Linked DNA regions of Sus scrofa. The protein of the gene in region 1 purifies or fractionates together with the protein of each later gene. This does not show direct contact. Links are inferred from orthologs where the notes say so. Each region holds a gene or a part of one and is shown on either strand. Other genes may lie near its edges.

Evidence for each region.
Region 2: the proteins of CAMKV (region 1) and GPC4 purify together in Homo sapiens (affinity purification with mass spectrometry; 3 studies listed by BioGRID and IntAct, counting the BioPlex papers as one, with this or other methods). This does not show direct contact. The link is inferred for Sus scrofa from reciprocal best matches to the Homo sapiens genes CAMKV and GPC4.
Region 3: the proteins of CAMKV (region 1) and TCOF1 purify together in Homo sapiens (affinity purification with mass spectrometry; 3 studies listed by BioGRID and IntAct, counting the BioPlex papers as one, with this or other methods). This does not show direct contact. The link is inferred for Sus scrofa from reciprocal best matches to the Homo sapiens genes CAMKV and TCOF1.

The regions. Positions count from the first base shown.
Region 1 is NC_010455.5:32,390,366-32,394,108, forward strand, and holds the start of CAMKV (caM kinase-like vesicle-associated protein), read right to left. Parts: upstream 2,615-3,743; 5' UTR 2,575-2,614; coding exon 2,421-2,574; intron 1-2,420. UniProt on the Homo sapiens protein: Does not appear to have detectable kinase activity.
Region 2 is NC_010461.5:109,327,885-109,331,527, reverse strand, and holds part of GPC4 (glypican-4), read left to right. Parts: coding exon 1-322; intron 323-3,643. UniProt on the Homo sapiens protein: Cell surface proteoglycan that bears heparan sulfate. May be involved in the development of kidney tubules and of the central nervous system.
Region 3 is NC_010444.4:151,392,208-151,395,850, reverse strand, and holds part of TCOF1 (treacle protein), read right to left. Parts: intron 3,563-3,643; coding exon 3,379-3,562; intron 2,219-3,378; coding exon 2,097-2,218; intron 993-2,096; coding exon 879-992; intron 615-878; coding exon 383-614; intron 40-382; coding exon 1-39.

The DNA.
Region 1 (3,743 bases):
CCTCTCAAGTCTCAGGGGTGGGCGTACAATTCGGTGCTGCCTCCAGGAAGTTCAGCCTTCAATATGCAAACAGAGCCAAGGGCCAACCTACCCCTTCCAGGCACCTGGGGTCTCTATCTTTGAGCCCTTGGAGGAAAATTCACTGAGGATCCTGCTTCCCTATGGGTAGCGAAGGGGAAATGCCGGAAAGGCCCCAGAGTAAAGGGTTGCTATGGAGATGGAAGTTTTAAATAAAGAGGAGGGGAGGGGATGATGTTGCTCAAACCCCTTCTCCAAGAATTTCCTTTGACCTAATTCCTTCCCCAAGGGTTCTGTGACCCTGGTCCCCATCAAGGAAGGGGAGGTAGGGAACTGAGAGACTTCAGAAAAGAGAGGGGCAGGGACACAGAGAGACAAAGGCAGAACCTGCTGTGGAAGGGGAGTAAAGAGGCGACAGAGTAAAAAGGACGCAGGCACAAGGACACAGGAGGGGAAGTGGGTAGGAGGGTTTGCAGAGGCCTATGGGTGCCCAGCAGAGCCCTAAAACCTCCATGACCATGTGCTCTGAACACCTGGGCCAGGAGCTGTCCCTGGTGCCTGGACCTTTGAGCTGGAACCCTCCCATATTCCCCTAGACATGCACTGAACTTGGTGTGGGACCGCTGTAACCTGGGGAAGAGGCCAGCTGTGGCGGTCCCCCTCGGTCAGAACAGTTCCTCAGCCCCTCTACCTGTCATCTGGGCAGCTTAGGTAAAGCAGGGCCAACATGTCGAAGGCACAAGCATGGGGGATGGAAATGAAGCTCAGAGACCTGGCTGCTTCCCTTTACAGCCCCTCCTCTCAGCTGACCCAGCTCTGCCTAGGCTCCCCAGCCACCCCCACCCCCATCAGCTGTCCTCTAGAGGCCTTAGGTCCCCAGGGCGTCTCTTGCAGCTCAGCCTAATTCCCTGCCACTGCCGTCCCCCTCCCTGACAGTGGAGTGTGTCTGAGGGCTAGAAACAGCACCCTGAACAACCCAGAAACAGGATAACAACTGCACAGCATCCCTCCCACCCCCCACGCCACCTCAGTTTCCCTGGATGGAGATCACTGACTCTGTGGCCTCTCCCAGGGCAGGGACTGACCACCTGCTGGTGAGTGAGTGGTGGCCAGGATGAGGGCTGGAGAGGAGAGCCAGCAGCTGATATGGGAAAGGCAGCCTATGGCATGTGGGGGCCCACCCCAAACGCTGAAAAGAAAGGGAGAGATCTCTGCTGCACCCCAGGGCCCACCATGACACTGAGAGGGATGAAACCACCAGTTTCGCAGGTGAGGAAACCAGGGCCCAGCAGGTGCGTAATACTGGCAGGAATCAACTGAGGGTGGGGAAGGGCACCAGGTCTTTGCAGGCAGTCCTGGGGGGGCTCAAAGCCTAGGCCTTGGAGGAGGGTAGCAGGTCAGGGGCTGGACTGCTGCAGACTGAGCTTTTGGTAAGGGACAGAGAGCCCTGTTTTCCAGGTGGGAACCTGGTGGAGCAGGCTGTGCCTAGGGTGCGCGGACAAAAGCAGTTTGGCAGAGCTATGGGGGGCTGGGAGAACCTAGGGTCTCTTCTGCCAGACACTACGGACTGGGGAAGACAGAAACTCACTCCTTCATTGTTCACCCTGCTCGCCGGGGGAGGGGGGGGGCTGCTCCCCATTGTGCTGCCACCCTGACCCCCTTCCCCAGTGCTGCTGACTCGCCCCCGCTGGCACAGCAACACACATGCGGGAGGCACACGTGTGAGCACCAAGCCCCGCACCTCCCAGCAGAAACATGTGCGTCCTCCACCCCCACCGCGCAGGGCTGAGGCTGTTCCCTGGACCCCCAGCGGGCCCGGTGCTAAGGCTTTGAAGCTGGATCTCGGCTAGGGGGCTGCAGGTCTCCAGGGGCTTGAGCCTCCACCCCCATCCCGCGGCAGCCCCGCCCAGCCCCCTTCAGGTTGTCGCCCATAAAGAACTCTCCGTTGTCATGGAAATTAGTGACTGCTTAGCGGGAGGGAGGGGGCCCCGGGGGCAGTTGGGAGGGGCTGGAGGCGGCTCTGGGAGTCCAGTGGAACGCCGAGCCCTTGGCCTCTACCCCCATGGGGCACCACGAATGTCGGAGGGTTAATGTTCTCAGAATTAAGAGCTCAGCGAGACGGGGGTGGGATGGGGAACAAGGAGGGGAGATTGGCCTGGACTGAGTCTCAGAGGCTTCCCCTGGGACCCCCGAGCCGTTCGAGGTGATGGGGAACTTTAACCCAACCCCTCACACCGGCCCCTGGATCTGCAGAACCCGCGTGCTCTGCCCCCGCCGGGACCCCAAGCCCTAGCAGCGTCCCCGCGCACTAAGCTACACGAACCTTCGGCCAGAGACCCAATCCCCTAAGATACCACAACGTGCATTCGCCGGGCGCCCCCCTCCTCCCCGACCCTGCTCACCCCGCACCTGCAGCGCTGGTGGGTCAGAGGGAGGAAGCGATCTCGAGTTCAGTGCGGCGCTGAGGGCTCCGGGGGCGACGGGTAGAATCCGCTCGGGCACGCGGGGCAGACGCGGCGCCAGCTGCAGCCACTTCGGCTCGCGAACCTCCAGCATCTCCCGCCGCTCGCCAGCACCGGATTCGCACCCCGGCCCGGGGGCGGGCTAGGGGCGGGGCCTCCATCAGTCGGCTCCGCCCCGACCGTGGAGAAGACTGAGGCAGGAATGAATCCCACTAGAAGGCGGGTTGAGGAGGAGTAGCAGCGGCCAGGCACTCAAAGGCTACCTTGGACTCTGGGACTGAGCAGGCAACAAGGGCCAGAGGGGCCTTCCTATGCCCACTGTAGAGGGTGCGGAGTAGAAAGTATTGGGGAGGGCCTGAGTCCTGGAACCGCCCAGGAGTGTCTTGCGGATAGTAGTCCCCAGGGGACCGGCACTCTGCCCAGCAACCAAAAGCTGACCCAAAGAGGAGAACCCACGTAGAAGAACTAAGTGGGCGGTTGCTAGGACAAGCTCAGTTACAGACTGGCCTGCCCTTAGCTTGTTAACACACAAGCATGTCTGTGTGCAAAATGAGGGTTCCAGACCTTGGTGGCAGAGTCTCCTACCCATCCCACCCTCCTCTCCTACAAAGTCAAGGCCTTTCCCAGGCTGGCCCTGTCTGCTCCCTCCTGTGTGGCACCAAACTTCTCAAGCTTTAAAAGTTATCTACGACATGGTGCACTCTATTTTCTTCCCAGTTTTATCACCCTCAGACACTTCATGAGCAGCATCACCATTAGTGGCCTGGGCTGGGATATGAGGATACAGGAGAACTATAACACCAAGGTGCCCCACCAAACCTGGCATCTGATTGGAGGGAGGCTCAGAATTGCCGGGAAGGGGCTCTGAAGGAAGTCCTTGCCATTTCTCTGTCCCTTGTCAGGGATACGCACAGACCCTTGCCTCACCCCACTCACAAGCCTTGAAGCCAGTATCTGAAAGCCATGCTTACATTCCTCTGTGCCTGGAGTTGGGCTGCACCCCATCTGAAACTTCTCAGTGAGCCTGATGACCCTATCCTGTGTGGTTCATCTCCATGGCCCTGTTGAGGGAGTCTCCCCTGCATGGCTCCCCATAGCTGTTGACAGCAGTGACTGCCCAAGTGATGAAGTGGGGCTGGGACTGGGGCTGGAATTCTAGCCTGGGAAATGACTACTCAAACAGGATCACTCAATATCTTTCTCCAGATGAGGTGTTAAGGAACCCTTCCCTGGCTTGGTCACTTTTCTAGGCAAGGTGGGTAC
Region 2 (3,643 bases), on another chromosome or scaffold:
CTTATACATGCAAAACTCCGAGCTGTTCAAGGATCTCTTCGAGGAGTTGAAGCGCTACTACGTGGCGGGCAACGTCAACCTGGAGGAGATGCTCCAGGACTTCTGGGCCCGCCTCCTGGAGCGCATGTTCCGCCTGGTGAACTCCCAGTACCACTTCACCGACGAGTATCTGGAATGCGTGAGCAAGTACACGGAGCAGCTGAAGCCCTTTGGAGATGTCCCTCGAAAACTGAAGCTCCAGGTCACTCGTGCGTTTGTAGCAGCCCGGACCTTTGCTCAGGGCTTAGCCGTCGCAAGAGATGTAGTGAGCAAAGTCTCCGTGGTAAGTGCCGTTGGGCCTTCCGGGGGTTTTGCTGCGTTTCATTTGCAAAAAGAACGTTTGGGGAGGTCCCCGTCGTGGCACAGTGGTTCACGAATCCGTCTAGGAACCATGAGGGTGCGGGTTCGATCCCGGGCCTCGCTCAGTGGGTTCAGGATCCGGCGTGGCCGTGAGCTGTGGGGTAGGTCGCAGACGCGGCTCGGATCCCCGCATTGCTGTGGCTCTGGCGTAGGCCGGTGACTACAGCTCCGATTCGACCCCTAACCTAGGAACCTCCGTATGCCGTGGGAGCGGCCCAAGAAATGGCAAAAAGACAAAAAAAAAAAAAAAAAAGAAAAAGAAAAAAGAAAGTTTGGGAGGTGTGGGAAAGTAAATCCCTAGAATTCCATCGGCTCAGCCGCAGCCGTCATCTTTCTCTTCTGTGCTGTGCTTTCTCTCCTACGCTTGGTCCTGGAACGTGGACTGTGTATCGTCATAAACAACACGAGGATGAACATCTTCGTGCATCATCATTCTTTTCTGTGCGTTCCTTGGTAGCTATTCTTCAAAGTACGTTGGAACCTTAATTTTTAAAATGGGTTTAAGCAGCTCCTGTCATGGTTCAGTGGAAACAAATCTGACTAGCATCCATGAGGACACGGGTTCGATCCCTAGCCTCGCTCGGTGGGTTAAGGATCTGGCGTTGCCAGGAGCTGTGGTGTAGGTCACAGATGTGGCTCGGATCCTGCGTGGCTGTGGCTGTGGCATAGGCCGGCAGCTGTAGCTCCAATTGGACCCCTAGCCCGGGGACCTCCGTTGGCCTTGGGGGCGGCCCTAAAAAGACAAAAATCAATAAATAAATGGGTTTAATACCTCTGTATTCTTTTCAGCTCCAGAGAAAGAAACATACAGGATAGGCTCCCCATTTGGTTGTTTTGAGTGACTACATTTGAGCCATCTAGTTAGAGTTTAGAAAAGAATTTAACACCCGTTATTCTGTGTTTCCTTGTTACAAGGTGTATGTACTCAGAGCCCTTGAGAAGACACAACTTCCTGTGACAATTAATGTGGGCCACCTGCTCTTGACTTCTGGCCTTATTTATAGAATTAGCGGGAGAGAGAATGAAATTATAATATGTGGGAAAGAACAGAAGAAATAACCACATTTTCCTGCATTTGTACGGGAAGGAGTTGGATTAGACCAGTGTATTTCAGACGGAGCCAGCTCAGGAGGTACCTTCGGGGCCTCCTTGAGAGGCGGGTGAGACTCTGCCTCTGTGCCTTTATCGCCTGACCGCACTAGGGAAGCTTTGCTTTCCTCAGTTTTAGGTGGCAAAGTCTTGAGCAGGATTTCAAGGGGGGAATGGATCTTTGGCTCCTTCACCCCCCAGAAAGATGGAACTTAAAAGCTTCTTGAAGGCCTTTCCCCCTCTATCCTGTGACTGAATACCACTGAAGAAATGGAATATTCTGGAGCAAAGTTATCTTTGCAAGACTGATCTTAGTGCTTTTATCATTAGGCCCTCAAAGGAAGAGGCAAATTTTTGGTCCATTTGGTTTTGGGGTTTTGGGGGTTTGTATTGTTTTTTCATTTGGCCAAGCCCATGACATGTGGAAGTGCCCAGGCCAGAGATCAAACCTGTGCCACAGCAGTGACAGCACCAGATCCTTAACCTGCTGCACCACCAGGGAACTCCTGTTTGGTTGTTCCTTAAGGACTGGAGGAGTAGTTAAAATGCAAACTGGACAGTGATCCAAACACTAAAATAATCAGTCAGTCTGATTACATATCCAAGAGTTCATTTAAAGTTAGGATAACCGTATAATTTATTGTCCACACCAGGAGATGCCTAATAACAATCCTATCCAGACAATATGTGCCACGGACTTTTTTTTTTATGGATAAATACCTAAGTCTTTTATTTAATGTTTTCCAGTTTTAGTAAAATGAAGACAAACATGTCCTAATTCTCTTCTTTTTCCAATTGCTTCCATGGTTAATTTTTTTTTTCATTCTTTCAAGTTTTTTTGAAGCGCAGTTAATTTATAATGTGATCATTTCTGCTGTACAACAAAGTGATTCAGGTATCCATACACGCATATTCTTTTCCAGATTCCTTTCCCATAGAGATGATCACAGAATATTTGGTATTTTTCATAAGCAACCAGGACTGTCTTGGGCAGCCCAGGATTCATGGTTACCCTAATTAGAGGTGGAATCCTTGACCAGAGCGAAGATAAAGATTCTAAAGAATTGTGTGTTGGAGTTCCCGTCGTGGCGCAGTGGTTGACGAATCCGACTAGGAACCATGAGGTTGCGGGTTCGGTCCCTGCCCTTGCTCAGTGGGTTAAAGGATCCGACGTTGCCGTGAGCTGTGGTGTAGGTTGCAGACGCGGCTCGGATCCCGCGTTGCTGTGGCTCTGGTGTAGGCCGGTGGCTAGAGCTCCGATTGGACCCCTAGCCTGGGAACCTCCATATGCCGAGGGAGCGGCCCTTGAAAAGGCAAAAAGAAAAAAAAAGAATTGTGTGTTGTAAACATTAGGTGCTCATCAGATGTTTCATGTTAGAATTGGGCGGTTTAAATAGTAGTCGACTGGTTGCAGTCATTATTACCCTTTTGTGTGTTCTCGCTCTCATCTCCCAGCCACAAGGCATCAGGAAACAATTCTTTACAGCACATTTTTGTTCAGTCCTTCCCCTCCCGATATTTTCGTCATAAAGTACAAAAAGTTGTTGGGACATACGAGGGGTGGTTGGGACCAAGTGGGGAGGTGATGCTTGTAGTTAAAGGCATCGTCTGATCCCTGAGCTTCCGCCAGCCTCCGCTGCCATTGCTCATCACGAAGATGCTCACGTGAGGTCCCTAAACAGTGCACCGTTAATCACGCTCAAAGTTAATTACATTGTAGTTCCCCGAACTGGTCTGCCTGCCTTCAACAATTCCTCGCATTTATCCTGAGCTGAATAGGCAGAAAGGCGCTGCTGTGTGGTTTGCAAGTCTGTGTGCGTGTGTGCATGCTCAGGCCAAAGAGAAAGGCCTTTGCGAGTGTTTGAAAGTGGAAGTGGTTTCTTTATATTAACCAGCCTCCCCCTCCCCCTTCCTTTTTTAAAATAAAAAAAAAAAATGGGGGGCGGGCATGCTCATGGCATGTGGAAGTTCCCAGGCCAGGGATCCAGCGCTCCGCACAGCAGTGACAAAGCCAGGTCCTTGACCTGCTGCACCCCCTGGGAACTCCTTTCCCCCTCTTCCTTTGAGTCGATTCCTAGGAAGAAGGACCAGGCTGACCCAAGCCTGCCTTGAGGTTAGCCTCACTTTGCAAGGTTGGGGCCCCTTTAGAGGATCC
Region 3 (3,643 bases), on another chromosome or scaffold:
TTTCTTCCACCAGGGTCTCCTTCCTGGCTGGGGCTGCACCTACCGGAGGAGCACAGGTGGCCTGCTGGAGTCCCAGGTACCCCTGCCAGCTGGGCATGGAGAGCCCTTCGGGGGGTCCCGGGACAGCCTGGGCCCTGTGCGCAGCTTCATCTGCTCCCACTGCTCCTTCCCAGGTTAACTGCGACTCACAGCATTTCAGGTGAGGCAGCTGAATGCCAAAGCTTCGAATTCCCAGGGGAGGCGTGGCCCTGGGACCTGAGGGGTCAGTGACAGGAGCCTGAAGCCCAAAGGTGTCTGGCATCTCGTGGAGGCCCAGGCTGGCCACCGGACGAGTGGAGATGCAGAGCGAGGCCTGAGCCTCAGGCTGCACCAGGACCCTTACCCGGCCCGGGGGCCCCCGGGGCCACCCGGGGCCCCGCAGCGTCGTCCTCGCTCCCCGAAGAGCTGCTGCTGCTGCCGTCCTCGCTGTCCTCTGAGGTCCCAGAGGCCTTGGCCTTGGGGCGTTTTGAGGGAGGGGCTGCAGGAACCCCAGGCTTTCTGAGCTCGTTGGCCCCTCTGGTCTGTGCAGGGGCGCTCTGGGGACGTGTCGTGGGGAGTGTCCCCAGACCGTCGGTCTAGTTTGGAGAGAGAGCGGAAGGAACAATCAGGGGGCAGGATCGGGGCCTGCTAAGCAGCTCAGTCAAGGGCAGGCACCGTGTGACCTGCTCTGCACATGGGCCTCATTGAACCCCCGTGGCTGAGACGGGCGGCAGAAGCCGAGCAGGCGGGTGCGGGCACTAGGGCCCCCGGGCAGCTAGGTGCTGGTGCCAGGTCCCCCTGTGGTCTCGGACCACTGTGCCCTCCGCGCTGGGCCTGCCCACCCCCGCTGCCCAGCTCACCGCACACGAGGACGGGGTCCTGGCGGCAGCAGGGCGGCCCTCACTGGCTTTCTGGGCGAGGACCTTCAGGGCGGCCTGGGTCAGCGGGAGGTCAGCTGGGCTCCTCTTGGTCACCTGTCGGGGCCGAAGGCAGCCTGAGACTCCCAGGTCCTCCAGATGCCACCCAGGCCACCCGGGGCCAGTTCCTGCCCAGCAGGGGGAGGGCCCCAGAGCTGCAGGAGGAAATGTGGGACTGAGGGCACGGAGCACTGCCGCCACCTGGGCAGAAAGCGGGGCCGCGAGCTCCTCTCGCTCTCGGGCCCCAGGTCCCAAGGCCTGATCGGAGCCTTCACCGGGGAGGCCCTGGGCCTCCAGCCTGGCGGCTGCGACAGCCAGTCTCCTGCTTCCCACAGCCGCCAGTAGCCAAGGAGAGAAGTGGCCGCGGGGCCTCGCTGAGACCTGGGGGCTCAGCCCCGGCCGCTCCACCCTCCCCCGACTCCTGCACCCCAAGCACCTCCTCCGAGGTCCCCGCACCGGGTCCACCTGCCTGCCGTGCCCCCCGCGTGCCCAGGGAGGCTGGCCCAGGCTTTCTAAAGCAGGTCATCTCACTGTCCCCGCTGGTGAGGGCTTCCACTCTGGGTGTCCTCGTGTAATGGCTGCTGCCTCGACCTGAGAGGTCCCCGAGCACAGGGACCCACCTGCGGCCGCCGCACCCCGTGCCCGTGGGGACAGACGCTCAGCACCCCGGCCGGCTGAACGGCCAAGCGGAGGCAGGCCGTGGGGTGCAGGGAGCACAGCCTAGCCCCGCTCAGCACCCGCGCCCCCAGGAAGCGCCTGTGGGCCGAGGCCTCCGTGCAGAGGTGCCCTCTCTGAGGCGCCTTCTCGGAACGGGGCAGGGCGATGGGCCAGGACAACAGCAAGCCGCTGCCGCCCCGGAGCAGGGCTGGGAGCCAGGGCCCCGCTGCCGCCGCTGCCTGACCCTGGCCCTGGGTCCAGCCTCTCGCTGAGGGAGAGGCCCAGGCTCCGCGTTTGAGCGACGAGCCGTCAGCTCCTCGCTGCCAGGCTTCTGGGTGCCAGCAGGACCACGGCAGGAAGGACGACCCGAAGCAGGGAAGCCTGGGGCGCACGACCGGAGCAACCTTAGCGCGCCCGGAGAACAGCCCGGCTCAACGCCGGGGGGAGACCCAACCAAGAGCTTGCTGTTGGCAACGCTGCCAGGGCCCCTCGCCCGCCAGGTACCTGGGTGGCTGGCGCCTCCGGTTTCCTGCCTTCTGCCGCCTGCCCGGGCTCCTTGCCACTGCTGGCCCTGGGGGCCGTCCTCGGGGGCACCGGGGGCGCGGTCGCCGAGCTGGTTCTGAGGGCTGAGAAGGAGCGGGATGGGGCACGTCAGGCACAGAAGCCTGGCACGGCGCCCGCCCCCACGCCAGGGGGAAGACACGGCACCAGCCGCAGCCACGGGCAGAGGCCCCGTCCCAAGGGCCCGGCACAGCCCCGGCCTCCTGCCCCACGGCTCCGGCTCGACACAGCGCGGGAGCCGCACCCAAGCAGCCGCTCTGGAGCCCGGAGGGACCCGGCTGTCAGCGTGAGGCGGCACCTCGTGGGGTGAAGGTGACTGCGCACCTGTACGGTATGGTCTCACTGCAGGGGCAGGGAGGGCTCACGGGTGTGACTCAGCAGCAGCGACTCTGGACACTGGGAGGACAGTCGCGCTGTTTCTTTCAGGCTCATCCGCATTTTTTTTGTCTTTTTAGGGCCACACCCTCAGCATATGGGGGTTCCTGGGCTAGGGGTCCAATTGGAGCGACAGCCGCCAGCCTACCCCACAGCCACAGCCACAGCCATGTCCGATCCGAGCCATGTCTGCGACCTACCCCACAGCTCACAGCAACACCGGATCCTTAACCCACAGAGCGAGGCCAGGGATCGAACCCGCATCCTCACGGATACTGGTTAAATTCGCTTCCCGCTGCGCCACAACGGGTGCACCTAATATGTATTTCCTAATGAGCCTACCCAGACCAGGTATGAACAGCCTCATTAAAAGGTGTGCTACTACCAGTAACAGCAATTAACTGTTTTCCTGCTGTCACGGTGAGACCACGGGTTGTCAGAAGTCAGATATCCCAGATCTGGCCCCGTGTCCAGGCTCTTCCCTGCATGTCTCTCTTTAGGGGCCACCTCACCCCCGTACATGCCGCCAGGAGCAGGAGGCTCACTCCCTCACAGGCCTTGCCCCGCTCAGGCGTCGGAGGTCACAAGGCTCGTCCCTCCGACCATGGAGACGCCTGGTCCCTCGGCCTCCAGCCTCAGGCCCGGGTCCTGGCCTTTGGAGCCAGCCCCCCATCAAGAGGAACCAAGCCTGGGCCCAGACCTGGCCCCCAGCGCCCCAGACCAGCAACTGGCTGGGACCCGGCCAGCGTCCCACGTGGCATCTTCTGGCTCCTGGGCCCCAGGGGTGGGTGTGGGGGGCGTGCATCTGGCAGTGGCAGCAGGGGGTCGGCCCTGCGGGGCCCGAGCTCACCGGGGGCTGAGCACTGCGTGGCAGGGACCACGTCCTCGTCCTCACTCTCAGAGGAGCTCCCAGCCGTGCTCTCTGAGGCCTGGACCTTCCTTCCGGCGCTTGTAGCCTGGGCTTGGGCGAGGGTAGCAGCTGGGCCAGCTGGACTACGGTTAGGGTCGACAAAAATCAGAGGGGTTTTAATCACCTTGAAAAACAAAAACAGAACACAGCCCGCGGTGATTAACGGCTTGGCCGGGGGAAGGCAAGGGTGGGCAGGGGAGGGTTT